7 linked regions of the Mus musculus genome follow. The protein of the gene in region 5 interacts with the protein of the main gene of each other region in a biochemical or structural test. Links are inferred from orthologs where the notes say so. Each region holds a gene or a part of one and is shown on either strand. Other genes may lie near its edges. The genes, in order: Sla2, Shc1, Sh2d2a, Src, Erbb2, Plcg2 and Sh2b3.

Evidence for each region.
Region 1: the proteins of Erbb2 (region 5) and Sla2 form a complex in vitro, tested with the Homo sapiens proteins (2 studies listed by BioGRID and IntAct, with this or other methods). The link is inferred for Mus musculus from reciprocal best matches to the Homo sapiens genes ERBB2 and SLA2.
Region 2: the proteins of Erbb2 (region 5) and Shc1 form a complex in vitro, tested with the Homo sapiens proteins (2 studies listed by BioGRID and IntAct, with this or other methods). The link is inferred for Mus musculus from reciprocal best matches to the Homo sapiens genes ERBB2 and SHC1.
Region 3: the proteins of Erbb2 (region 5) and Sh2d2a form a complex in vitro, tested with the Homo sapiens proteins (2 studies listed by BioGRID and IntAct, with this or other methods). The link is inferred for Mus musculus from reciprocal best matches to the Homo sapiens genes ERBB2 and SH2D2A.
Region 4: the proteins of Erbb2 (region 5) and Src form a complex in vitro, tested with the Homo sapiens proteins (3 studies listed by BioGRID, with this or other methods). The link is inferred for Mus musculus from reciprocal best matches to the Homo sapiens genes ERBB2 and SRC.
Region 6: the proteins of Erbb2 (region 5) and Plcg2 form a complex in vitro, tested with the Homo sapiens proteins (2 studies listed by BioGRID and IntAct, with this or other methods). The link is inferred for Mus musculus from reciprocal best matches to the Homo sapiens genes ERBB2 and PLCG2.
Region 7: the proteins of Erbb2 (region 5) and Sh2b3 form a complex in vitro, tested with the Homo sapiens proteins (2 studies listed by BioGRID and IntAct, with this or other methods). The link is inferred for Mus musculus from reciprocal best matches to the Homo sapiens genes ERBB2 and SH2B3.

What each region holds. Positions count from the first base shown.
Region 1 is NC_000068.7:156,873,651-156,877,221, reverse strand, and holds the end of Sla2 (src-like-adapter 2), read left to right. Parts: intron 1-1,205; coding exon of another isoform or gene 1,206-1,250; coding exon 1,251-1,400; intron 1,401-2,212; coding exon 2,213-2,345; intron 2,346-2,684; coding exon 2,685-2,802; 3' UTR 2,803-3,071; downstream 3,072-3,571. UniProt on the Homo sapiens protein: Adapter protein, which negatively regulates T-cell receptor (TCR) signaling. Inhibits T-cell antigen-receptor induced activation of nuclear factor of activated T-cells.
Region 2 is NC_000069.6:89,420,436-89,424,420, forward strand, and holds the start of Shc1 (SHC-transforming protein 1), read left to right. Parts: upstream 1-1,185; 5' UTR 1,186-1,415; coding exon 1,416-1,910; intron 1,911-2,293; exon of another isoform or gene 2,294-2,385; intron 2,386-2,490; coding exon 2,491-2,561; intron 2,562-3,072; coding exon 3,073-3,136; intron 3,137-3,261; coding exon 3,262-3,381; intron 3,382-3,754; coding exon 3,755-3,808; intron 3,809-3,985. UniProt on the Homo sapiens protein: Signaling adapter that couples activated growth factor receptors to signaling pathways. Participates in a signaling cascade initiated by activated KIT and KITLG/SCF.
Region 3 is NC_000069.6:87,849,755-87,852,988, forward strand, and holds part of Sh2d2a (SH2 domain-containing protein 2A), read left to right. Parts: intron 1-1,968; coding exon 1,969-2,121; intron 2,122-2,312; coding exon 2,313-2,654; 3' UTR 2,655-3,234. UniProt on the Homo sapiens protein: Could be a T-cell-specific adapter protein involved in the control of T-cell activation. May play a role in the CD4-p56-LCK-dependent signal transduction pathway. Could also play an important role in normal and pathological angiogenesis.
Region 4 is NC_000068.7:157,422,940-157,427,092, forward strand, and holds the start of Src (neuronal proto-oncogene tyrosine-protein kinase Src), read left to right. Parts: upstream 1-1,353; 5' UTR 1,354-1,475; intron 1,476-1,888; exon of another isoform or gene 1,889-1,996; intron 1,997-4,153. UniProt on the Homo sapiens protein: Non-receptor protein tyrosine kinase which is activated following engagement of many different classes of cellular receptors including immune response receptors, integrins and other adhesion receptors, receptor protein tyrosine kinases, G protein-coupled receptors as well as cytokine receptors.
Region 5 is NC_000077.6:98,418,984-98,422,483, reverse strand, and holds part of Erbb2 (receptor tyrosine-protein kinase erbB-2 precursor), read right to left. Parts: intron 2,396-3,500; coding exon 2,244-2,395; intron 1,620-2,243; coding exon 1,403-1,619; intron 430-1,402; coding exon 295-429; intron 1-294. UniProt on the Homo sapiens protein: Protein tyrosine kinase that is part of several cell surface receptor complexes, but that apparently needs a coreceptor for ligand binding. Essential component of a neuregulin-receptor complex, although neuregulins do not interact with it alone.
Region 6 is NC_000074.6:117,588,775-117,592,274, forward strand, and holds part of Plcg2 (1-phosphatidylinositol 4,5-bisphosphate phosphodiesterase gamma-2), read left to right. Parts: intron 1-489; coding exon 490-579; intron 580-1,068; coding exon 1,069-1,244; intron 1,245-1,344; coding exon 1,345-1,545; intron 1,546-3,500. UniProt on the Homo sapiens protein: The production of the second messenger molecules diacylglycerol (DAG) and inositol 1,4,5-trisphosphate (IP3) is mediated by activated phosphatidylinositol-specific phospholipase C enzymes. It is a crucial enzyme in transmembrane signaling.
Region 7 is NC_000071.6:121,834,060-121,838,163, reverse strand, and holds the start of Sh2b3 (SH2B adapter protein 3), read left to right. Parts: upstream 1-1,304; 5' UTR 1,305-1,614; exon of another isoform or gene 1,615-1,747; intron 1,748-1,904; exon of another isoform or gene 1,905-1,944; intron 1,945-2,059; exon of another isoform or gene 2,060-3,340; intron 3,341-4,104. UniProt on the Homo sapiens protein: Links T-cell receptor activation signal to phospholipase C-gamma-1, GRB2 and phosphatidylinositol 3-kinase.

The sequences.
Region 1 (3,571 bases), on a different chromosome or scaffold from region 5:
ATAATTAAAGGCAGAGGGGGCCAGAGGATGCCTCAGTCTGAGAAGTAGCTGCTTTGCAAGCATGTGGTCCTGAGTTCAACCCCCAGCACAGATGTGAAAGGCCTGGCATGGTGATGTATGCTTGTAATCTTAGTCCTGAGGACATGGGACAGGAGGATCCCTCGGGCTGGCTAGCCTACACATATAAAAACCCTTCCCTTGCTGACCTTTTAGGATGGCTGTCTCCCAAGCATGAGCCTGCCCTCTCCTCCCGGCTCCCTTTCCACAGCATAGCTTAAGCTGAAGGGCACATGTACCTAGCCTGGGTAAAGAGATCACTTTCGTTCATTGCTTATAGACCTGAGGGTTTCTATCCAGGGATGCAACAGAATTACCTACAGGAATACTGCACACCCAGCTTGCTGACAGGGTCCTAGGCTGGGGTTGAGCATGCTCCTCGCTCACACTGCTGGCCTGGGGAACTTACGCTGAGAACTAGTTCTTAGCTGTTACGTTGGAATCGCCTTGGAGAAGCTTATAACACGGATGCCTGCACACCGGTTTAAATGACCAGGAATGTGTCTTGGGATCTGGAATCTGAAACAGTGAGGCTCCTCACTGGACAAGGGCACGTTTGTAGTGAAGTAGAGCAAGAAACCCCAGTGTGTGCTGGAGTCGGGAGTCCTGGAGAGTCAGACCTATTTCAGATACTAAGTGACAGTCTGCATTTTTGTTCTGTGGTTCAAGGGCCCAAACCCTAAACTGACACTGAGTTCTAGTATCCTGTGTGATGTTACATAGAGTGCTGGTTCTCAGATCAGTCATTGGGATGCTCTGGTCTTTGTGTGAGGTCGTGGGGATTTCCTAACACATAGTAGTGTGCACACTAGGCCAGCACTTTACCGCTGAGGTACCAACCTCTGAACTTTACTGTACTAGTGGCCCAAACAGGCTGTTTGTGAGCATGGTATCTATGAAGAAGAGCACCGTTAACACCAAACTTTCCAGAGTGACTTTCTCTCTGGCCATGGTGACATCTACTTACTTTCTCATTCCAACCCTGTGCCACCTGAGTCTTTATCCATACAGCCGATATTTAATGCTCACCCATCCTGAGGACCACAGAATCCTATTACAACTAATAGTCTTTATCCTGCCTTTGACCCCAGCATCCCCCTGAAGACTGGGCTGTGGCTATTGTTTGTTCCTTCTTCCAACCTCGGCAGGGCTGAGTCTCTACCTGGACCCACCCTGGACCCTTTCCTCCTTAGGCTGCTATTCCCTGTCCGTCCGACTCAGCCGCCCTGCATCTTGGGACCGGATCAGACACTACAGGATACAGCGTCTTGACAATGGCTGGCTGTACATCTCACCTCGCCTCACCTTCCCCTCACTCCACGCCTTGGTGGAGCATTACTCTGGTATGTATGGCTTACATTTTGCCTCCACTGCAGACTGGATGAGGGGCCTAGGAGATAGTCAGTTGTGCCCTTAGAGGCTTGACCTGCTGGAGCTATACAGAGGAGGCACTTCTGCTATCGATCCTTATGCAGCCCTTGTGCTAAGATGTGAGTGGGAGCTGCCTCCATCCCATGATGACAAAGAACTACAGGCCAACCATGAGCCTGGCCAGAATCTCACAGGCAACGGTGATTCTAAATTAATGTGCACAGAAGCTGAGTTCTTCCCACAGGAACCAGACTGTGCTCTTCCTGGGTGCAATGCAATCCTTAGCTAGCATTTCTGATGTCAAGGAGACAAAGGGGAAAACCTTATTGGCAGTGGTGGTGCACACCTTTAATCCCAGCACACAGCGGGTGGAGGCAGGCAGATCTGAGTTCCAGGCTAGTCTGGCCTACAGAGTGAGTTCCAGGACAGCCAGGGCTAGAGAGAAAACCTGTCTTGAGGAAAGAAAAAAAGTATGTGTGTGTGTGTGTGTGTGTGTAGGGGGACACCTCTTGAGAAAGTTGACTTGGGGTTTCCTACAAGGTGGTTCTATACAGTAGGTACGATGGGTCCCAGGCTGACCTCTCCCTACTTGCTTCTCAGTTTTACACAGAATTAAGTACCCCATAACTTTGTCCAGTTGACCTTTACCACCTGTCTGCCTTTATGAGACCCATCACTTGAGACTTCACTTCCTATTACTTTTTGGCAACCATGCCCTCAATATGCCAAGCACAGAAAACTCCTGGGGCAGGTACCATATCACAGGTTTGGATCTCTTCCACAGAGCTAGCAGATGGCATCTGCTGTCCCCTCAGGGAGCCGTGTGTCCTGCAGAAGCTTGGGCCACTACCTGGCAAAGATACACCTCCACCTGTGACTGTGCCAACATCATCACTAAATTGGAAAAAGCTGGACCGGTAAGAATATTTGAAACATAAAGGCAGAATAAGAAATAGACTCACAACCCACAATGGGGCTGTCACATTCAGGGACACTTCTAGAGTGCAGCCAGGCTGAAGCAGTGTAGAGGACAAGGCAGAGTTGGGAAAGGGAGGCATGGACCTCAGGGGAGCCAGGTAGGATGTAGGTTAGGCTGGGTGGGTGATCACAGTCCTGCATAGGGAGGTAAGATGGAGTAAGATCAGTAAGAAATGAGGAGCCTGAGTTTGTCAGTGACATGGTGCTATTCTGAGGCAATGAACTGTGTGGCAAGCACAGGGGAAGTGACTCCTTCACCCGCTGTCCCCCATCCACAGCAGCCTCCTGTTTCTGGAAGCACCTGCGAGTGGGGAGGCATCTCTGCTCAGTGAGGGGCTCCGAGAGTCCCTCAGTTCCTACATCAGCCTGGCTGAGGACCCCTTGGATGATGCTTAGCCCTGGAGCACAAAGAGAAAGGGAACCAAGACTGTGGCACCGAGAGCTCCAACTCCGCTGACCCTGACAAAGCTCCAGGAGGCAAGGCTGGGAGAACAGAGACGGCTGGGGTGGGGCACAGACACTCGGGGCCTCACCTGGGCTTTCTGATAAGTCATGTATCTCCTAAGGCCTCACCCCTACCTACTACTTCTAGTCCATGTGCAGTGCAGTTCAAAGCAGGGCTGGCCTCTACAGAGAATAAAATACTTCTGAGGTCTGATAAGTCACTTCCTGAGAGAAATGTCCAGTACAGCAGCTACTCAGCCCTACTAAAAGACAGAGAGAGCATCACTACCATGGAGAGAAAAAATATTGGGAACGCTCACAAGTCTTTTCCAGAATGCAAACACATCTCAGATGGTAGGATGGCTCAGAAAGCATTGACAAGAGGAACACTGGATGGCTTTACCGCAGTAGACCCCACCTAACTCCCACGCACGAGGAAGACTGACAATCCAGATCTTCCCATGATCTCCCATCAAGTCCTTTCAGCCAACTTCAGTGTTCAAACAGCCAGGTCCTCCCCATACCCCCGTTTTGCCACCTGGTGGTCAAACACAAAATGACACCGTTTAAATCTCACATCTAGCCCAGTCACCTATCTCAGTACTGAGTCAGGACATCAGGTGGTGGACCCTCTCTGAAATGCCAATACCAACTCCAGCCAAAAGAGAAAGAGTCTGGCTGCTACTGCTGCTGTGGGAGGAGAGGGAGGAGGGAAGAGAGC
Region 2 (3,985 bases), on a different chromosome or scaffold from region 5:
TAGACCAGGCTGGCCTCGAACTCAGAAATCCACCTGCCTCTGCTGGGATTAAAAGGGTGCACCACCACACCCAGCTACTTTTTTTTTTTTTTTTTTAAGGGAATAAAGCGATAGTTTATTCTGGAGCTATTTTGATTGGTCACTTTCTTTAAGTTCCTGAATGGCCTTAAGCAGAGCTGTGGCAGGAAACTGTGGGCAAAGAAATATGGGTTTGGTATTATTATGCACTTATGGCCAGACTCCAACTTCTAATATCCCTTTCTCCTTCCTGTCTTTATTAACACAGATTTGTTTATGACCCTATTATCCCTTTGTGGCTTGTAGGCACCAGTTCTGTTTCTTTCCCCTACCTCCAAGGCCAACTCCTCCACTAGCCTGAGGTACACTGTCAGGTGGTTTACTGCCTGTAAGGAGTAACAATATATCTGTAGGTCCGAGGGGTGGCTGCATGTCTCTGTACCCTCTGGGGAAGCCCTACTCCCACCCCCCAAGTCTGTTGGTCCTTGGTGACTTGTAGAAACAGGCTTGCTCTAGCTCTTGTCTGGTAGCCCCCTGATGTACCACCAATAAATTGGCCTTTATTCCCATTTTAGCTTGTCTTTCCTCTTGGCTTTGCACTATATCCACTGGGACTTACTTTCTCTCCCTGGTTCTCTACTGTGGTCCACAGCTGTTGTGGTGGAGGATGCTAATGGCCCAGGTTCCCTGGAGCTACCACCTCACTCACTGTATGGTGGGGATGGGAGTGGTCTGGGCTGTCTGGGCTAGGGGGCTAGTCACGTCTTCAGCCAGGACTGGAAAGGAAATGCTAAACTCTGGGGGACATCTCCCCCCTTCCCCTCCCCGCCCAGCAGCTTCTGTTTCCTCTCTATCCCTTCCTGTCTTCCTGCTCTCTTTGGCTTGCCCACGTCGGTTTGGATTGGTCCAGAGTTTCTCTTAACTCCTTCCTTTCTTTTTTCTCTTTTGCTTATTTTTCCATCTTTTTTTCGCGCCGGGCACCTCCTCCTTCCCAGACAGTTGTTTGTATTGGGCTGGGAGAGTGGCCTGGCTTGCACAAATTGTGTGGGGAGGTGTCTCAGCCCCTCTGAGCCTGTGAGTCAGCACTGTCCTGGGGATTGGTCTCTCTCCTTAGTTCCCCGCCTCTGGGGAGGAGCCAGTAAGCTCTGGGTCCAGCCTGTACTCCTCAGCCAGTAGAGGTTTCCTAGCTGGGCTGTGCAAGGATGTGCTCTCAAACTGTCTAGGTCTGAGTTGGGAGAGCAGAGGTCACTTGTCCTTCGCCTCCCCAGGTCATCTGTTATCACCGGGCTGCCGAGGTCAGACTAGGCTAAGGGCCTGGGGATGCCCCCTGCCTGGCCCCCTTGCCTGAATTGGCAGGGGGGCCGGGCTGGGCAGCAGCCCCTCTTCTCACCCCAGCCATGGATCTTCTACCCCCCAAGCCGAAGTACAACCCACTTCGGAATGAGTCTCTGTCATCGCTGGAGGAGGGGGCTTCGGGGTCTACCCCTCCGGAGGAGCTACCTTCCCCATCAGCTTCATCCCTGGGACCCATTCTGCCTCCTCTGCCGGGGGACGATAGTCCGACTACCCTGTGTTCCTTCTTTCCCCGGATGAGCAACCTGAAGCTGGCCAATCCTGCTGGGGGGCGCCTGGGGCCTAAAGGGGAGCCAGGAAAGGCTGCTGAAGATGGGGAAGGGAGTGCAGGGGCAGCCCTTCGGGACTCAGGCCTCTTGCCCCTCCTCCAGGACATGAACAAGCTGAGTGGAGGCGGCGGGCGCAGGACTCGGGTAGAAGGGGGCCAGCTGGGGGGCGAGGAGTGGACCAGACACGGGAGCTTTGTCAATAAGCCCACACGAGGCTGGCTGCATCCCAACGACAAAGTCATGGGACCTGGGGTTTCCTACTTGGTTCGGGTGAGTGCATACCCCCCTCCCACTCCCTCCCGTCCAGTTCCTCTGCTCACTCCAGATTTGCCAGGGACTCCCTGCTCTTCCCCCAGCAACATCTGTGCCATTCTCTCAGTTCTTAGACCTGGTGCATTCCTTCTTCAGGTCTCTGCCCTTAATTTAGCCTGTGAATCTTCTGCCTTTCCTCCTTTGGTCCCAACCCCCCCCCCCACCCCCCCAGTTCACACAGTGCCCAAGCACATCTGAGGCTTTCTGTAAAAGTTGAATGAAAATGACTTCTTGATTATTCCCTCTAGACTCCTCCCTTTTCCAGAGATGTCACTCCATCCCACTCAATGTTTGCTACTCCTCTCGCAGTCCCCCCATGGTGCACGAAGTTCCTCTTTTGTGGTCTTTCTTCCCTTTTTCCCCTTTGCCATACACCTATGAAGTGGAAGCCCCAGGCAGTAGGAAGGCTACTTCAATCTACTTTCCTTAGGAAGTAAGGACTATATAAGGCAAAGCCCTAGAACCTTCTGCAAAGGGCTTGCAAGTGTGGGGTGGGGGATGGGGTCAGCTGATCCATTCTTCCCTCCTTCCCCTACAGTACATGGGCTGTGTGGAGGTCTTACAGTCAATGCGAGCCCTTGACTTCAATACCCGGACTCAGGTCACCAGGTTAGTGGGAAGGCGGGTATATTGCTGTAGTCTTAAGATTACTGAAGTTACAGAAGTCTCAGTAAGGGGGAGGAGGAAGTTGGGCATTTGATGGTGTTTCTGATGGTGACTTCTCATGGGCGGTGAGAGAATTGAAAGTCACAGAAGTAAGTCTGACTAAAAAGAGCCAGCTCTGGTCTGGAGCACACCTTCCCTTTCTATCCAGCCTTGGAGATTGCGGGAAGATGAGCTAGAAAAGGCAGGGGTAGGAGGTTGCTGATGCTTTGGGGAAGGGAATGGAACATTCGGTGGCTGGGAAGAGGTGGGGCTATAGCCATTGAAGCCCTAACCCAATCAGCCAGGAAGCGGCCCCTCGGTGTCATCAAATATTAAAGGCCCTTAATTCAATCCACCACGACAAAGAGCCTGGAGTGCTCTGGGAGTCTGGCCTGGTCTTCCCTTCCCCCAGCTCTGTGGCGGCCCCAGCCAGGGGGGCAGCCCATGGTGGGTCTGAGTACTCCTGTTTCTCCAGGGAGGCCATCAGTTTGGTGTGTGAAGCTGTGCCTGGTGCCAAAGGGGCGACAAGGAGGAGAAAGGTATATGTGGTGGTTGGGGCTGGGTATTGGAGGCAGGGGGAAGGCACTTCAGGACATAGCGGATGGGACAGGTGTTTCCTCAGGCTGGGAAAGCTCAGATTCTGAGACTCTGGGCCCTTTCTTAGCCTTGTAGCCGCCCACTCAGCTCCATCCTGGGGAGGAGTAACCTGAAGTTTGCTGGAATGCCAATCACTCTCACTGTGTCTACCAGCAGCCTTAACCTCATGGCAGCCGACTGCAAACAGGTAGGTAGGGCTGCTGAAAGGGACCAGAGATAGTTATGGGAGCATCAAATGGGAATCAGAGACCAAAAGCTCGGAGCTCTCAGGAACAACTGGACAGTAGAGGAGGAAGAAATTAGAAAGGTTAAGGATAGTGACACCCTTATCCCAGCACTCAGGAGGCCGAGGCAGGTGAATGCCTTTGAGTTCCAGTCAGGGCTACACAGTGAGACCTTGCACCTCACCCCACCAAAAGAAGAAAGAAATCAGGAGAACACTGGGTAAAAGACCAAGAGAATGAGCCTGGGGCTCCAAGGTTCTGCACTGGGGTGGGCCACAAGCCCTGAGGCTGCCTGACATTTACCATCCCCTCCTTCTCCATCCCCACCCTCATCAGATCATTGCCAACCATCACATGCAATCTATCTCTTTCGCGTCCGGTGGGGATCCGGTGAGTTGGGGACCAGAGGAAAGACTGGGGTGGGGAAGAAGAGACATGGGGCTAGAAAGATGCTTGCTAGAGGCTGAGTGTGGTGGCACACACTGATCCCAGCACTCACGGGACAGGTGACTCTCTTGAGTTCCAGGACAGCCAGGGCCATGCAGAGAAATCCTTGAAAAACCAAAA
Region 3 (3,234 bases), on a different chromosome or scaffold from region 5:
TACTACAAGTAGCAATGGCAGACAATCTAGTGGTGGGATGATCATGTGTGGTGGCGGTGGTATATGCTACTTAGCTTAAGAGAAGCTCTCAGGGAACCTCCACTTTCAAAAAGTGCAGACACTTCAGAACCATTGTGTGTTGAGCCAGAGGTTAAACACCGAAGAAATAAACAGTGACAAATATACCTATATCTCCTGGCCTTCGTGCGGCATCTATTCTAGGACAAGGCAGGTGCCATAAGTGATACAGAGAACACACTGATAACAGAAAGGATGCATGCTAGGAAGAAAGCCAAGCAGAGATGGAGAGCAGCAGGATAGGCAGTATGTCACACAGGGACAGTAGAGAAGGTGGGGGACATCTGAATAGAGGTCTGGATGGTTGTAAGAGGGAGCAGTGCAGACGGCTGGAGGGAAAGCTTTTGGGTTGAAAGTTACAGCAGGGGCAAAGACTCTGAGATGGGAGGATGTTTGATGTGTCTGAAGACTGAGCAGTGAGGAAGCAGCCTCACTGGATGATTGATGGATGGAGAGGTCAGAAGAGAGGTCAGAAGGGTGACGTGACTTAAGGGGCCCCTGTGGCTCTCACAAGGCTCTAAGGTTTTATTCTGAATAAGATTTGATTACACTGGGGAGTTAGAAGCAACAATCTCACCTGACAGGGTGGTGAGGGCCTGACCAGGCGGCAGGAGATGAAGATGGCTACAATGTTTCAGAAGGTGATGGGCGGCCAGGGCCAAACAAGGCCACTAGAGATGAAGACAGCTGCTATGTCAGTGTTTCAGCCAGCTGTTGATGGTTAGCACAGGGAGGTTGAAGGAGTAAGAGAGGGCCTGCTGGCTGTTTAGATTGTAGAGCAGGGTCTTTGCAGAACAAATGAAGAATGGAAAGACGTCTAGATGAAGGCTAGAGAAGGAGCCTGTCTGAGCCAGGTGTGGAAACATTTGTAGGCTGAGGTGTCAAGTCGGAAGCTGGGGGCTCAGAAGTAGCTGGAGGGGCTTGTCCAGCTCCAGACTGCAAGTTGCCAGATCCCCAGGAGAAAAGACCCCTGGAATCCACAGGACTGGATCCAGCCGGGAACAAAGGTGAGAACAGGAACTAGGCCCAACACAATCAAGCTTGAAGGTCTGAATCCTTCTAGAGCAGGAAGCCCTGGCTTGGGGTAGAAAGACTGGGTAAAGATGCTGCAGAATGGCGAAAGTGGGAACCAGTGGGGAGATGTGTGCACCTGATCGGTGGTGCCGGCTGCGTGAAGATGTGAGCCACGGGCAGTGGGCAAAGCACAGCTTGAGTTGGTTGGATGGAGAAGGGTGAGGTATTGAAGCTGACCTTCCTGCTGTTTGGGCAGCAGGGTGAGCCTAGTGCTTTCTCAAGGAGAGATGAAGTACAGGGTGGACACGGAAGAAAGAATTCTCATTTGGATCTAGGAAGCCTTGAGTAGATCGTAGGTCTCTGGAAGTGGAGGGCGCATGGAGCCCTTCGTGAAGCAGGCCTTAATGCTGAGCTAAAAACATAACTACTGTGGGGTAGCTAGAAGGGAAGGTTCGTCTCTCCTGTGGTGGTCTCTGCCCCTGAACATGTAGCTTCTGTCTTCATATATTAAGCTTCTTGAGCCTGAAGAAAAAAGACCCAGCAATCATAGAGGTTGGTCCCCAGACCGATTGCTTTGAAGGCAAGGACTCCTAAAGCCTAAAGCCTCCTAGTTTTGCAACCATAAGTACAAATGAGACTGTCTTGGCCCTGAATTCCAGATAGTTGGTTGTTAGACAAACGGGTGAAAAGAGTTTGTTTCTGTCCACAGTCCCCAGGCCTCCTCCATGCCTCCACTCCACCTCTCTCACAGAGAGCCCAGCCCACAGCACACTTCTTCCCCAGTCTCTTCCATCCTCTCCGACCTAATTGCTGTTCTGGGATCACCTGATGCCCCCACCCCGCCCCAACCCTTCAGGCCTCCTTTTTTTCCTGCAGACAGCTGAGCCTGCTGGACTTTCCCTAAGGGCTGATTCAGACTCTGGAAGCAAAAGACAGGACCCAGACACCCAGCTCAGCCTGCTCCTCCAACAGGGCCAGGCCCAGGCCTCAGGACACACAGAGAAAGTATGGGCCTCCCAACAGAAGGCGGTACTATATTGGTCAACTCAACCTGTGGGATGGGGGGTGTTGGGGTGTCAGGGCCTGGAGAAGGGGACACAGGACAGAGGAAGAAGCCAGGCTGTCATAGGTAGAGGCTCAGGCTGAGATGGGCCTGGGCTTAGACCCTGTCTCCACGGTTCTCATTAATTTTCTTCCCTGGTCTTGCCTTCTCCCCCTAGACATCCCAGGCATCCAGACCCAGGCCGCCCATCCCCGCCAAGCCTCAGCTTCCTCCTGAAGTCTATACAAGTCCTGCTTCACGACTGCATCAGGCCCCACCCATTAACCCCATCTACCAGGAGCCTGATGAACCCATAGCCTTCTATGCCATGGGGCGGGGCAGCCCTGGGGACGCTCCTAGTAATATCTATGCTGAGGTGGAAGGGCCATCGGGAACGGCGCCCATTGGACACCCCATCCTCCGAAAGTGCTGGTCCAGGCCTATCTCAAGAGGCCAGGTAAGGGAGGTACAGGGAAAGATAAGCTCAAGGAGTCGAGCAGAAAGAGGGAGCCCCTCCTGAATATCGGGCAAGGTGAAGGTCAGCAGGCTGAAGCGAGATGGAGTGTTCCACGCTGCCGAAAACCTTTGCCCAGCTCCAGGCCTAAGGCTCTTCCTGGACATTCACGTGGACTCAGCTTTGTCAAGCCCTACCTGCCCCTACTTCAGGTTTCCTTCAACCACTCTCCATCCCAGGCTGCCTCTCATTGGTCAGGCCTTCCTCACACACATGTGACACTGACCCAGCTCCCTGGAGAGCGTCACTGCCAGTGGGCTCAGAGGAGGAGGCTGCCACACTGTGTGCTCACCCTCACAGTTTCCCCACAGAGTTTCAGTCATGTCTGAATGTGGTATTACTATTAAAGGAGTCAGACTCTTTCCCTTGTACCTGCGTCAGGTCCTACTTCAGGCTTCCTCTCTGCTGCCACCAAAGGTCCCTGCTTGGCCCTCACCAGCCCAGCTCACCTGTACCCTACCAGCCTTCTTAACCCTGGGTCCATCCAGGCTCTGCCAGGGTTCCAAAGCCACTCCAACATCAATTGAACCAACCTCACTCGCACCCTGTGTGGGCGCGCGCATGAGCGCGCGCGCGCACACACACA
Region 4 (4,153 bases), on a different chromosome or scaffold from region 5:
TCCCCTCCCTCAGCCCAGAGTGGCCAGTAAAGGCCATTAGACAAATCTTAGGCATGGAGGAGGGCGGAGAAACCTGCTCCTCCAGCCAGAGCCTGCCCAGGGGAGCCCTGGGAAACTGCCGTTAATCTTTAAGCAAGCCCTGCGAACAGGAGTGGCTGGCTAGTTTGCCCGCTGTTCATGAGAAACCCTGAGCAGTCCCCGTGGCCACAGTGGGCTACCCTGGCCCCACTTGCTCTTGTCAGTGAGGCCCTCAGATCTTCAGCCTGGCCCACTCCTTCTTCACAACAGAGGGGGCTGGAACAGGAAGCTAGTGGACAGAACACACCCTGAGGCACCTGGCCTAGATGTGACCTCAGATCAGTCTGACTCAAAGCTTTGCCCTTTCCTGGTCTCCTGGGAGACATAGCTGTACCCTGGGGCTGGAGCCTCTCACAATCTAGGATGATGGGGGACTTGCCCTTTGGGAGGGATCTTTGCCAGAAGCCCAGGCCTGTGCCACATGAACCTCAGTTTCCCTGTCTGTGAGATGGAAGCACTTTCAAGGAAGGAACATGGAGATGGTTGATAGATGGTCAGGCCCATCTTTCCAGAGTGAACGGGAGGAGTCAAGGATGCTCCTGGACCCCCAACGGGCAGCGCTAGAACCTGGTGGTCTTTGAGACCAGCCTGAAGCCACATCTCATCCCGCTTGCCCCATTTTTCTTCTCTACTTCCTGTCCGGTTGGTTCTGTCATCCTCAGTGGCTGGCAACAAGCACACTGCCCAGCAGATGCACACGGTCTCCTTATGCATTGAAAGTGAATTTAGGCTTGGCCTAATTGAGCTGGGCCCCGCAAGTTCCTGCCCTCCATTGGCAGAGGCTGGAGGCTCCGCAAGTTCAAGGCCAGCCTTGGCCACATAGTGAGCCACTGTTTTGCCTTTTGATACATTTTAACAATACTGCCTCTCCCCCTCACTATTTCCCTGTCCCTTCGGTTCCAGTCTCTGAGGATTAGAGACACTCAGGGTCAAGGCTGGTGTGGCCAGTGCCTCAGTTTCCGGACAGTGCTAGCCACCGGTGCGTAGCTCAGGTAGCTAGGGTTGAACGCTAACGTGGTCCCGGGAGGCCGAGCCCGGCGCGTGGCGTGGGGTTGGGGGGGCGCCCCCGCGGGCGGAGCTGCGGGGGGTGGGGGGCTGGGTGCGGGAGGCGCGGGCCCGGCTCGCACAGCAGGTCTCCCGGGTCGCCGGCGGGGCCCGGGTCCGCGCTTCCTCCTTTCTCCGGCTCGCGGCGGCCGCGGCCCCTCCTCCCGCGCGCTCCCTCCCCCTCGCCGCCGCCGCCGCCACCGCCGCCGCCTCCTCCCTTTCTCTCGGTCTGTCTCTCCGGGCCCGGAATCCAACCGGCCGCCCCGCCGGAGCGGCCAGGCCGCTGCCCGCCAGCGCCGCGCGCCCCGCTGGGGTCCGCCCGGGCGCGTCCGGAGCTCACGGTCGCCGTGCAGGTGAGCGCCCCCGCCCCGCCGGCCCCGCGCCCTGCTGCGGGCTCCCGCCCTGCCCACTCTACGCCGCGGCCCGCGAGCTGCCCGCCGCGGCCTTTTGTTGGGATGCGCGGGGGAGGACGAGCGGGGTGCGGGGGGCACCGGAACGCGGGGACCCTCGGCCGCAGAGTCCCCTGGCTCGGTTAGGCCACATTTGAAAACCCGGCCGATCGGCGCCGCCCGCGATCGCGGCTGCTGGGCCTGGCGCCCCCGGCCCGGAGTGGGCGGTGGGGGTGGGGTGGGCGTTGGGGAAGGGGCACCTGGAGGGCCACACTACCTCCTTAGGTCTCACTGGGGCCTTGGGTAGGGCCTAGTGCTGCTGGTCTGGAAGAAACAGGGCCACCCTGTCCTCGCCCCCCATCCCCCCCAACCCCCAGCCTCGCCCCTGCGCAGGCCCAGCGACCGATGGACTCAGAAGTTGGCAAAAGTTTTGGGGTTTCACTACCGCCACCAGGTCCGCTTGCCCACCCAGGCAGGTACTGGAGGTGAGTTTGTGCCCCCTACTACGACCCACCACCACTTGTGCCTTAGTTAGCTCTCTGAGCCAAGGCCCTCCTCAGTGGTAGGTGGGCTGGTTGAAGGGTGGGGTGAACAGAGGGGACTCACTCTGGGTATCCATCCCATAAACCTTTGAGGCATTCCGATTAGAAAGGTGGACAGAGGTGTGTGAGGCTTCTGGGACCCTGAGGTCTTCCCGGCTTTACAGACTGCCCAGTGAAGGCAAGTGGTGTTGGGGTCATCTGGGTATAGGTCAGATTTAGTTACCAAGGTGGACACGGGGGCGGGGGCAGGGGCGGGGGCAGGGGACTCTTCCAACCTTATGGAGTCCAGGTGTCTAGGTTTCTTGTTTTCCTGAGTGACCTGAGCCAGGGACCGCCCCTTGGACTATTCACATCAGTGACTATTCCCTGCACTTCCGCAGCCCAGGACTTGGCATATATGGGGGGGCGTGCTCAATAAATGAGTCCCATCCTGGAGCTCGCTCGCACAGGATGGTTGAGGTACCTGTGGCACAGCTGCCTGCAGAAGCGGGTAACTCCGTGCTACAAAGGGTTCCCTTTGGCCTCAGTCCTCTCAGGGAGGATCGATCAGTTGGCTTGTGAGGTAGCTCGGTGGTAGAGCACAGGCTCAGCTTGTTCAAGGCCCTGGTGCTAGCTGCAGAACCACAGGAAAGAAAATGGAGCAGTTATAACCAGAGCTGCTGATATCCAGTGAACGCCTCCCGGGGTTAGCCTGGTCTGCAGCTGCAGAGGAGGATATAGCCTTCCTGAGGAGCTGTCTGGCTGCCCTTTAACCCACCGTGACGGTGAAGGGTGTGTAGTTTTAGATCAGGCACAAGGCATTGTTGGAAGTTTCCCTCCATATCTCTCGCACCTGGCAGAGACATAAGGCCCTACTGGAGATGAGGTGTGTCTGGGTGAGGTAACCTTTCCACAAGGGAAGTGATTTACAGTGTGTCACCTCTCAGCTGACCTCCTGTCTACATCATGGGGCACACACTAATGAGTGCTAGGAGTGCCATGCTCCCTGCTCCGTCCCCTCCCCCTAGTCTCTTGTTCATCCTTGTTCATCCCAGCCTTAGGGCAACCCTAATCTCTCCCACCCCACCTTCCTCTATCTCCTGTGTCCTTTTCCCGAACCCCCTCTCCCCCACCAGCCTCCAGCACATAGGCTGGCTCCTGTTTGGGGCTTCTTCCCTGATTGTCATCTGAGGGTGGGGGTGAGGATAGGGTGTGTCTCGCTCCCCTAGCCCCCCAGGAATCTCGGAAGGACATGGTTAAATGATCTTTGTTCTTGCTGTCCATCTGCTGACTTTGATCGCGCATTGAGCATATACTATGCACCAGGGCCTGGGAACTTTGTTGAGCAGCTTTGTGGTAGGAGGAGCAGACAGCTTCCTGGAGGAGGGGCTTAAGCTGAGTGAAGCAGTGGCGGGCCAGCCAAGAATGCAGCTGGGTCAGTGCTCTTCCTTTCTATTCAGAAGGTCATCTGCCTGGGGACTTGCTGGGAAACTGTGAGCAGGTCTTTGACTCCTAGAAACTGGAGTGTGGGGGATAGGCCATGCATCAAGCAAGTGGCCAGATAAATGAATATATACTCGTGGCTGTGATAAAGGCAGAGGACTCTTGAAGGAGGAATTTAGGGGGCGTCTGGGCATGAAGCTAGGGGAAGGTGTGCCAGGCAGAGAGAGGTGTGTATGTGCAAAGGCCCTGAGGTGAGGGGAGGTGTATAATTGTTGTGGGGAACCAAAGGGAGAGCTATGAGATAGGATGATCCAATGGGGCCGCTATCAATAGGACTGCTCCCTATGAGGGCCCACTGGAGCCTGGAGGAGGATCTTGGCCTCCAGTTTTTACATAGGGAGCAGGTGGGTATCCTCTCTATGAACCAGATTAAGCTGGAGGGCAAGGTACACAGCTAATGGAATAGATGTGCAGTCTGGACTTGCATATTCTGTGGGAGCCCTGATCAGGTCTCAGAAGGAGGAGGAGGAAGAGGAGAAGGAAGAAGAAGAGGAAGAAGCTAGGTTTAGTAGGAGTTCAACCCAGAAAGCCAGAGGCACTGAGAGCCCAAGGATCAGGAAGTGCAGTGCAGGGTCGGGGTGAGGGTGAGGGAGAAACTTGGGAGGGAGCTGGAGAGCA
Region 5 (3,500 bases):
GCAGGAAAAGCGGGTAGAGGCAGTGAGGGAGGGAAGTCCAGAGGAGAAAGGAAGCAAAGGAAGGAAGCAGGAAGAAAAAGGGAGGCTGAGAGGGACGCAGGGAGGAGCGAATGGCGGGTGGGAGGAATATGTCGCAGAGCCCAAGGACAGTTGCACAGGAAGGGGGGGACCCAAAAAGTAAAGAGGCCTCAGGAGGTGGAGGCCCTGCCTACGGGCAGGGAGATGAACAAGGACAGGGAAGGTGGGATGGGTGGCTGTCTGGGTCAGGTGGGCTGTCCCATGGACATGGCTTACAGGCCCGGGAACGATTGGTGTCCATGTCGACAGGAGCCAGCTGGTTATTCTTACGGAGGACATCCTTCCACAAAACCATGTCCTGGTAGCAGAGCTGAGGGTTCCCACGGATCAAAACTCCTCCCTTCAAGATCTCTGTGGGGAAGACAGATAGTCAGCCCCTTCCTGACCACTCTTGGGGGCTCCTGACTTCCCTGTGAGTGCCAGCCACACAGGAGATTAACAAGGGACTAGGAAGAGGGGATGGGGCAGTGGGGGCGGTGGGCGGTGTTCACGTGGCTGGGAGCTCCCCACTGGCCTTTCGCCTCACCCTGTGCTCACTGTGCGGAGGCAAACAGAGAGGCTCAGTGGCAGAACAAGCACCCATCCTGCCCCAGATCTAAGATCAATCCCCAGCACAAAAACAACAAAAATGTCTCTGAAGTCTGAAATCCCACTTCACCACCGACTGGCTGCGTGACCCTGCCTGCCTCGGATTGCTCCTCTGTGGAGTGAGGCTAACACTGGAGAAAGCTGGTGGTGGCATGCCGGGGATTCCAGAACTAGAGAGCTGAGGCAGGAGGACTGCTTTGGAATCAAGGTCTACCTGGGCTAGGTAGTGAGATCACTGTCTCAAAAACCACAAAACCAGAAAAACCAAAATAAACGTAACAAAAAAGAAACACTGGAAGGCTTAGCAGCAGGGCTTCCACGTCTGTAGCGTGACCGGAGTGGGGTCCAGTACGCAAAGCACCGGGTACCCTAGTTGGGACACTGTCAGCTCGGGGCTGTCACATACAATTCCACAGGTTATTCACCACATACTCTGACATGGCCAAAATGGAGAGAACAAAATATCCTGACCTCTACTAATGAAAGCTGCATCTTCCTGAAGAGGAAGGGATCAAGCCCCAGGGCCTTGTCCATGCTAACCAAGCACTCTGACACCGAGCCACTGCGTAACCTTCTTTTCCTTATTGTCACTGGGGTGAAAAGAGAGGGAGGCTCAGCCTGCCTGCATGGAGCTTGAGAGAACCATACTTTTAATCCTCACGGAGCCTCTCCACAGCCAGAACAGCTTAGTCGGCAACCAAGAACCAGGAAACCCTTGCAATGACAGGAAAGGCACCTGTGAGACTTCGAAGCTGCAGCTCCCGCAGCCCTTCTGGGGTTCTGCCTGGGGCGGCGGTGGTGACGTTGTCCAAAGGGTCTCGGTTGTCTAGCACAGCCAGGGCATACTTGTCCTCAAAGAGCTGAGTCCCTCTCACGATGCGCAACCTCTGCAGTGGGACGTGTTTCACTCGGTTGTGAGCGATGAGCATGTATCCCTGGACTTCCTGGATGTCCTGGTGGGAAGGGCAGGGGACGGGCAGTGAGGCGCGGCTGGGCTGGCGAAGCGCCTGTGCCTCACAAAGCCTGAGGGTAACAGGGTTGGGGCTGTGTCCTGCATGGTCCCACTGGACACTGAGCAGTCTTGACCCCTTAGATCCAAGATGGAGCCCTAGGCTACTCCTCACTGGCCTCAACAGATTCTTGTCTGTTAGATCAGGACTGATAAGCGGTGCCCCACCTCTCTGCACATCTCAGTATCGAGGGCTTGTACAAGATGGTATCTGTGATTTAACAGACCCACATCCATTCCTTGCAGCTTCACTCCAGGGCCTGTGGATATGATCCACAACGGTAGGCCAGGATGTCTGCTAGTCCAATATAGAGAGAAACTGAGGCCTGGAGAAGCTAAGGGTCTAGATCACATCCAAAAGGCTGGACCTGGAACTTAAGAGCCCTAAAGGAATAGTGTTGGGGACAGCTGGACCACGGCCAGTCACTGCAGAGGGAGTCAACTGGTTTTTAAGTAGCTATCAGAAAGGCACTCCTGATTGAGGAACCACAAGAGAGCGAATACAGGAATGTAGTTGCCCCTTCCTCACACACCTCGACTCAGGAGGCTCGGCAGGACCAGGTCTCACCTGCAGGAATGAGAGGCTGGCATTGGCGGGCAGGTAGGTAAGCTCCAAATTGCCCTGCACCACCTGACAGCCCTGGTAGAGGTGGCGAAGCATGTCCAGGTGGGTCTCAGGACTGGCAGGGAGTCGCAACTTCATGTCGGTACCGGTACACACTGATGGAAGGGAGGAAGTGGGTCAGGACACTGGCCACGACCCTCTCCAATCTAGTCACCTCCTCCACACTCACTCCCTGGAGTCCTGTCACCTCAGACAGGGAGAAAGCATGGCTGACAGCCTTTCCTCCCACACCTCTGCATCCACAGGGCCTAGAGTAGAATGCTCTTCTGTTTGGGAAAGAGTTGGCAAGCTGGAGAGAGGCCCCCTGTAGCAGGGTCACCTTGGGCAGCCAGAGGGACCCTAATGTGTCAGCCCTTTAGGGCTTACCACCCATACTGGGTTTTAGCATGCTGCAAAGAAAGCCTCCCTTTGTCCCAGAACTGAGGGTGAAAAATCCCCAAAGAGAGGCGATGATGAATCAGGCCCCTCTGGATACCCCCATCTGTCTCCCACGCACACAGGCTCAGGGCATTCTCCTCCTGCCATCGCAACACACCCACATGTCAACTTCCCTGATCAAGACAACTGTCCCCAGAGTGCCCCCCAAAACAGGGGCAAACAGGATTGACTGGAGTCATTGCTGGGATAGGAGGGCAGGCAGGGGCCTGGTCATCATGGGAGAGCTCTTTGGAAAAGCATCCACACGGAGAAGAAAAGCCTAGGATATCAGCTAGGAGGCCTGGCTGCAGATCCTAAACAGGGCGAGACACTCTGCAGGTTCCTACACTGGCTCTCTCACCCTCCTCCTGGGGCAAAACTCCAGAAGCAGCTGGCAGAAGGTATGCCACAAGACTCCTGCCACAAGGGCACACTACTCTGTGTACCTGCCCGGTGCCAACTATCAGCCAAAGGGGGTCCCCAAGGTGCACTGCCGTTCCGAGCCTGCCTGACCCTCAGGCTGGGGTACCATTCCTCCCACTAAGTCCTCACATAGGAGAAGCTGCCCCTCAGCTAGGGGGCTCTAGGTAGCAGCTGGCACCAAGCCTGCCAGCAGGGGAGAGATTAAAGTGCCCAGTTGAACTTGTTTTTCTGCTCCGGTGAGAAGATGAATCACCTTGTGCGTCTTGCCCAGGAGGTTGGGGGGTTGGGGGAGAAGGCGGGTGGAGGTTGTCTACACAGGTGCCCGAGCTGCTGAGAGAGAGACTTCCTATTGGTTACCGC
Region 6 (3,500 bases), on a different chromosome or scaffold from region 5:
AGAATATTTAACACTATATAGTAACTTTTAAAAATTAGTGAAATAAGAACATGCTGCTAGGTCAATTGGCTGAAAGGACCCAGAAAGGCTTACAAAGCAGGTGACAGGCTGGGGACGTAGCTCAGTGGCAAAGCTCTTACCTAACATGCATATGGCCCTGGGGTCAGTTTCCAGTACTGAGGAAAATGTCAGTGAATGAGGAAAAGTTACTAGTGAGGTTGCATGATCTGATCTGCTGCTGACTGTCAATGCAGCAGGAAATCTGTATCCGCTCTTATCCGCTCCCAGACCACCCACTTAAAGAGTCCTGAACAATACCAAGAATCCAGAAGTAGCTGTTTTAAGAGCAGATCTTATAAAAAAAAATCATTATAAATGTGAAAACTGGCGCCGGGCTGCCCCAGTGAATGCTGGGGTGATGTCCCATAGGTCCTCAGAGTCAATAGGGCTGAGACCTTGGGGGAGACTAATGCCAGCCTGGCTCTCTAGAAATGGACGCGCCACTACTGTGCCATTGCTGACGCCAAGCTGTCCTTCGGTGATGACATTGAACAGGCTGTGGAGGAGGAGCCGGTCCAGGTGGGTGGAGACCTGCTTGCCTTCAGCCTTCTGGTCTTGTCCTTGGAGAATCCCCACCTGGAGACTTACTGTGTGGCTTCTCATACCTGGGCTGGCTTGAGCATCCTTAGCTCTAGGGCGATATTGCTTTGGGTAGCAAAGCTTAACTAGCTCTTCCTGATTGGCTAGCTAGCCTAGGGCTTAACCAGTAAGATTTGAGGCTCTTTCCTGCTTCCAATAGGGTCTGACTGGCCTTTGTCCAATGCCAGCAATCCCCGGAGGGTGTAGGTGGGAGGTGTGATGGAGGCGCCCCATGCCCTGCGCTGCATGTTCCCTCTAGCTGCTGCCCATCTTTGGCCTTTTTCTTGAGTAGAGTCCAGGCCTAGTTCAGGCTTCTGGTACTGGGACTCCTGAACCCCTGCCTTAGGACTCCTGGAAACAGCCATCAATGAGTTGTCAGGAGAGGGCAGAGCGAGCTGTAATAAGCCCTTTCGGATGCTTGTGGCTCAGGACACTCCCCCCACGGAGCTGCATTTTGGGGAGAAATGGTTCCACAAGAAGGTGGAGAGTAGGACCAGTGCGGAGAAGCTGCTGCAAGAGTACTGTGCTGAGACCGGGGCCAAGGACGGCACCTTCCTGGTGCGGGAGAGCGAGACCTTCCCCAATGACTACACACTCTCCTTCTGGTAACGCCCCCTTCCTCGGAGGCTGGTGGGTGGGAGGTGGTGTGGTCAGGCTGTGTCCTGCCTGGCTCTGATGGGACATCCCTGTCTCTATTCCCAACAGGCGGTCTGGCCGGGTGCAGCACTGCCGGATCCGGTCTACTATGGAGAATGGGGTCATGAAGTACTACCTGACCGACAACCTCACGTTCAACAGCATCTACGCCCTCATCCAGCACTACCGTGAGGCACACCTGCGCTGCGCGGAGTTCGAGCTGCGGCTCACAGACCCGGTGCCCAACCCCAACCCACACGAGTCCAAGCCGTAGGTTCCTAGGATTGGGTGGGTGACCCATGGAGGTGTGACCACTATGGGGTTCTCATTTCCAGGACCCCGTTCTCTTTGACAATGTGGGTTCTTAGAAGTCTATGATAACTATTCCCACTTGTCAGACTTTGTCCCATCCTCTCTCTCTCTTCTCTCTTGCTTGTTCTTTAATAATTTTATTTGTGCGCTCATGCGTGAGCAAGCATGTGTGGTATGTACACGCGCGTACAGGGCCAACTGAAGCCAGAAGAGGGAGTTGCATCCCCTAGGGCTAGAGTTAAAGACAGATGTGGGCTGTCTGCCATGGATCCTGGGAACTGGTTAAGAGCACTCACTCTTTTTTTTTTTCATTTCAGAGATATTTATCTATTTATCTATCTATCTATCTATCTATCTATCTATCTATCTATCTATCTATCTATCTATCTATCTATCTATTGTGGCTGGCCTTGTGTAGGTACTAGGCCACATGTCCTGGAAAATTAGGTCACATGGCTGCTTCCATCTTGGTGAGGTCAGCAGCTAAGATGGCTGCCATCACCATGGCAGCTTCTATCTTGGTGAGATGTTTTCTCGAAAATCCTGGGCTCATCCTCCCAGTCCTGTATGAACTTGGGTGTCCTGGCTGTAATCCCAGGACTCAGTAGATAGAAACAGAAGGATCATACCATCTGGACCATTGCCACTCCTGTTCAAAACGAGACACTTGTTATGGTGGCTCCTGGAGCTCCCATGACCAGCTTCATTCTTTTCCTTCCTCCGAGTTTCTGAATCTCCACTGGTCTGCCATGTGCCTCCGGAATCCTCTGCTTCGTCCTCCTCACAGCCTCACAGCATCGCTTTCCTGTTTGCCACCATTCACTGTGATTTGGGGGTGGGGGTGACTCTTTTTTTTTTTTTAAGCTAAAAAAAATTATGAGTATGAGCGGTTTTGCCTGCATGCATATATGTGCACGGTGTGTATATGATGCCCACAGAGGCCAGAAGAGGGTGTCAGATCCTCTGGAACCGGAATTGCAGGCACTTTGGAGCCACCATGTGGGCCCTTGGATCATAAGCGCCATTAGTGCTCTAACCACTAAGCTATCTCTCCAGTTCTCAATGTTTTGTTTTCAACCCAGGGTTTCTCTGTGTAGCCCTGGCTATCTGGAACTCACTCTGTAGACCAGGCTGGCTTTAGATTCTGAGATCCACCTGCCTCTGCCTCCTGAGGGGAGTGCTGGGATTAAAGGTGTGTGCAGCCCAGCTTTTTTTGCGTCCTTCCTTCCTTTCCTTCCAGCTTCCACTTCTCTCTCCCCTCCATGATTTCTTCCCCCTTTCTTCTCTTTCAGTGCCCTGAGGTCTGGGGCTTTGATCTCAGAGACCGGTTTGGGTCCGCAGTGTCTGTGCTTGTCAAGGCTCCCTCTGTGGTCAAAGGAATCACAGTATAGGGCTCACGATAGCAATCACGGCAGTACGTAGTACTCACGCTAGTCCGTAGTACTCAGCCAGTACTCACACTAGCACTCACGATCTTTACTTACGATTAGCAATCACAAGGACGAGTTCCTTTCTCCTTTCCCTCTTTTATCCGCGAAAGAGAGAGTTCCAGGCCATCCCTGGCAAAGAGGTCAACACATTCCAGAAATACCAAGATAATCGTTAAGCAGGTGGATTTAACATTTTTGCTTTTGGAGGAAGCTGAATAATTTACAGTGACATTATTATTAGTGTTGTTATTATAATAATGATTATTATTAACATTTCCTGTTTTCATACCAGTTGCCTTTCCAAACTTGTCATTTTGTATCTTTAGTAACCAAAATCTTTCTGAGCCTCACCCGTGTTCCCTGCCCCAGATGTTTCCCTGCGACACTGCTGTAGCTCTCCAGCCTTTGGGGCTGGGCAGGTGGGCAGAGAAGAGACTCCCCTGAGTTTCACCTTGACCTCCTCATACTCCTGGGGTCTTGATA
Region 7 (4,104 bases), on a different chromosome or scaffold from region 5:
CGCCCCCACGAGGGAATCACTAACTGATGTCCACAAACACCTTATAGTGCCTAAGACATTGCCTTGGCTCGTTTTTTGGGGGTGGGTGGGTGGGGGCTTCTTCCAAGCCATTTTGCTACCAGGCTCCAGCTTGCTGCCGTCCGATTGTAGTGGAAATCCCCACCTACGGGGGAGTCCCTTCTTCGGGCTCCAACAGCAGGCCCGGGGACTGAATTCAGCCCGGTTGGTTAGGCTGCTCTAATGTGAGCAACTCACTTCTTCCAGTCCCTGAGTGGGCTGGAGACACGTGTTATTTCCATTTCATAGATGAAAAAACTGAGTTGGAGGGGGTCAAATATTTGGTCCCACGCAGCAAGGGGAAGGCTCCAGGGAGCCAGCGGCTCGTGGGAGCCTGTCGTCTGGGAAGGCTTGCAGTGGCCCCTCCAAGCTGGGGGCGTGGGCGGCCTGCTTCCTGTTGGGGGAGGGGGAGGGGACAGGCATTCCTCTTTCCCCTCCCTCCGTAGAGTCGCGGGGAAGACTGGCGTGCAGTGAGTGACTCCACTTCAGAACAGGGGCACCCCACTGTTAGCCAATGTGGCGATAGAGAAAAGGTAAAGGGCTAAGGGGCGCGCAGGCGTGGACGTTCAAAGGGCTCGGCTGCCTGGGATGCGAAGGAGCTCTTGGAGAAAGTTTCATCAAGCTAGAGAATGCGGCCGGGCGGCCAGGTAGAGAACAGCCTACTCGGCCCGTTCCGGGACTCCGAGGACCTTAGGAGGGGAGCGGACTTCAAATGGATGGCGCCGCGGAGGCAGGACGGCTCGGCGGAGTCATGGATAGTGGGGCCAGGGTGGGGCTGGCCCCTTCCCCTGGAGGTGATGAAAACCGCGGTCGCAGTTGCTAGACCCGGCCGGGCAAGCTCAGATAAGGTTGGGCTTGGAGGGAGTCCGCAGGGGCGCGCCCCTAGGAGGTCCCGAAGGTCGGGGCAGCCACGCCCATCGCGCGCCTAGCCCCGCCCCACCCCTTCTAGGGGCCCCGCCTTGCCGAGGCACGCGGTGACTGGCCAGCGCGAGAGGGGCGGGACCGAGCACGCTCCTCCCCTTCGAGATTCTTTATTTTATTATTATTTTTTTTCCCTTCTTTAGGGGGCGCGACGCAACTTGGGTGCAGAGAGCGCGCCTTATGGGGGCGGAGCTTGTCGCTATGCTACCTCCCACCGGGCAGCGGGCGGAGGCGCGAGAGGAGGGCGGGGCCGGGATAGGCTCCGCCCCCGGCCTCCGCAGGCGGCCCCGGGGCGTGGCTCTCTGTGGCCACGCCCCCAGGCCGCCCTCCGCCGCCGCGCGCGGCTCGCGGCTGGTTCCTCTTTACATAACGGCGTGGGGCGGCATGGGCTCGGGCCGTCGCCTCCGCCTGGCCGCTCTCCAGCCCAGACTGTCACGGGCCACACGGGGTCCACATCGGCGGCGGCAGCAGCAGCAGCGTCCTGGGGACGGCCCGAGGCCGCGTCCCCCGGCTGCTGTCAGGAGCTGGCGGCGGAAATGAGGCGCTGGCCGTTTTCCGAGCCGGGGTTTCCTGCCTGAGCGCCGAGAGGCCGTGCGACGCCATGGGCCGGCCGGGCCCCGACCCGCAGCTTGCGCGGTAAGCGCGGCCCGCCGAGCGTGTTGGAGGAACTGGGCCGGGCGGCCGTCCCCGGGTCCCGCTTCTGTTTTCTGGCGTTTCCTCATTCTGTTTCTCTTCCCCAATCCCAGACCGCAGTGATGTGGGCGCGGAGGTCAGTGCTTTCAGCTGGGGCCTCCGGAGAGGAGCCTGGCGGGGCGCCGCGGGAGGAACCGAGAGCTGTCCCGGCACACAGCGTGCTTGGGCCCCTGCCGGGGGGGGGGGTGTGCTGGCGGTGAGGGTGGGAGGGGGGGACACGTGTGTCACTAGTGCCCCGGTGATCAACCAAGGATGATATGCGGAGTCCTAAAGGTGAAATCAGCCAGAGATGGGGGAAGGGGGTGGGACAGGCCATGACAGGCCAGGGCCCGCTGGGGGAAGTTGAGGTTATAAGAGTTTTATGCTCTTAGGACACTTTCTGAACCTTGTTCCCCAGGCCTCCTCTGGGAGGAAACGCCATCTGAGCCAGGAGGGGTGAATACATTCTGGAACTTGTGCAGTCCCAATGGGTGGTCAGCTGGGAAGGGGCTGGCCCGCAGCAGCGGCAGCAGCTGTGGTTTGGGGATCTCAAGGGCTGGGCAGTGACAAGAGAGGAAACCGAGGGTCCTAGAGGCAGAACTTGTGTTCTTTCTCCTCTGCTCTCCAAGATGAGGGTCGCGACCTCAGTTTCCCCGCTGTTCAGTGAGTGAGAAGAGATTTGTGGTGCAGTTACAATGAGGTGGAGTTTTAATGAATGCTGTGTGGAAGGCACCTGCGTCCGGCTGGGAGAAGGGCTCAGTTACAGGCCGTTGGGAGAAGACCTCAGTTACAGGCCGTTGGTTTTCAGACTGTCCAGTTTTATTGACCCTGGCCCTGGGACCGTCCTCGGCTCTCTCCTGAGCATAGCTGCTCTGGGGTTTCCCGAGTCTGTGGGCAGGGAACTCTGAAGGACCCTGGGCAGGGTCAGATGACAAACCCCTTCCTGGCCTGGGTTCCCTCAGTTGACACCTAACTTGTGAGGGCCACCAGAGCACAGGATGGCTTGATCAGGAGGGCAGGCAGTCATGACAAGGGTGTTATCTGTTTTGTTGAGGTCATTTGCTGCTCCTCTTCCTTCCTGACTCTCTGGCACCAAATGTCACCCAGTGCCTGGTCCTCATCGTTCAAAATGTTCTTAGAGAAGTGACGGTCCTTTCCTTTGAGTAGCTGGGCTGTGCCATCAGCTTGTGTGCCTCAGGCTGTCTAGGCTAGTTGGGCCACCATCTGGTTTCTCCCACTTCTGCGATAGAGCTGAAGGTGCTTGGGAGCCCCTTCCGGCTGCCTGGGCCTGTATCACACCCTTTCCAGAGCAGGTCTCTGGGGGTCCAGCCCACATTGTGAGGCTAGTCAGCTGCTGAATGTCCCATTGCTGTGACTCTTTGGGTGGGCACTTCTGTGAGGCAATGAAAAAGTCATCAAGAGCGGGAAGGGTTTTAACTGCTGGCACGAGGAGATGGGACAGATAGTACTGTTAAAACTAAAACGAGAGGTCTTTCCTTTCAAGTCCTCATTTCTCCCTGGAGCAGCACTTGTGTGGAGACTAATCCAGACTCTGCTAGCTTCAGGGGTGAGGCCCTGGGCAAGTTACCTGACATCTCTTGGGACCTGCCCAGTGTCAGCCAAGTCTTGTGCCTCTCTAGGTGGTTGTGCACTATGTAGGAGCCCAACAAGGAGAAGACATTTGAAGCAGGTAGGCAGTAACTGGCCTGACTCTGAGATCTTAGGCTTGGGTTGTGCTGTCTCAGAGTTACAGGTGTTCTTGGAAGTCTGAAGTGGAGGTGCTGAAGGACAGAGTCGGGGAGAGGCATGCAGTATTGGCATGTTAGTGCTCAATAAATTTAAGCTATTGCTATTAATCCATTGCTATTAATCCAGGAGTGGCTGGCCCTTAATTGCCAGGTTTCCTGGGAAAACGGTCCCCAGGGCCCCTTGGGTGTTGAGCATCTCTGGTTGGGCAGAGCAGGAAGCAGCTTCCATCTGGAGTTTCTGGAGGGGCTGCTCCTTCCTGCCAGGCCTGTTCCCGGCCACCCACCCTCCCCGAGGAAACTGAGGCTGGCACACCGCTTAGGGGAAATGACTCAGTGGGGGTCACTAGCTGAGTCATACCTAGTTGGACCCAGGAGCCTTGCACCCCAGCTTCCAGCTTCCGGGGGCTTGAGGTCCTTCAGGGACCGGGTACACCTCAGGCCTGGTTGCATGCCCTTGGGCACTGTTAGACACCACCTGCTTGCGCCCCATGATCTGGACAACCTGTGTCTCTTGGTCAGTGATCTAGGGATCTCAGTGACGCCCCCGCCCCCACCTCCTGCATTGAGCTCTCCAGCCCAGTACCATTCTCATTGGGACAAGAGACAAGTCCCTAAGGGACCTGATGGCCTGCCCCGCCCTGGCCAGCCGGAAACCCCAGCAGCTGAGCAGATGGCTGAAAGATTTTTCCTCCCACACAACCCTGTC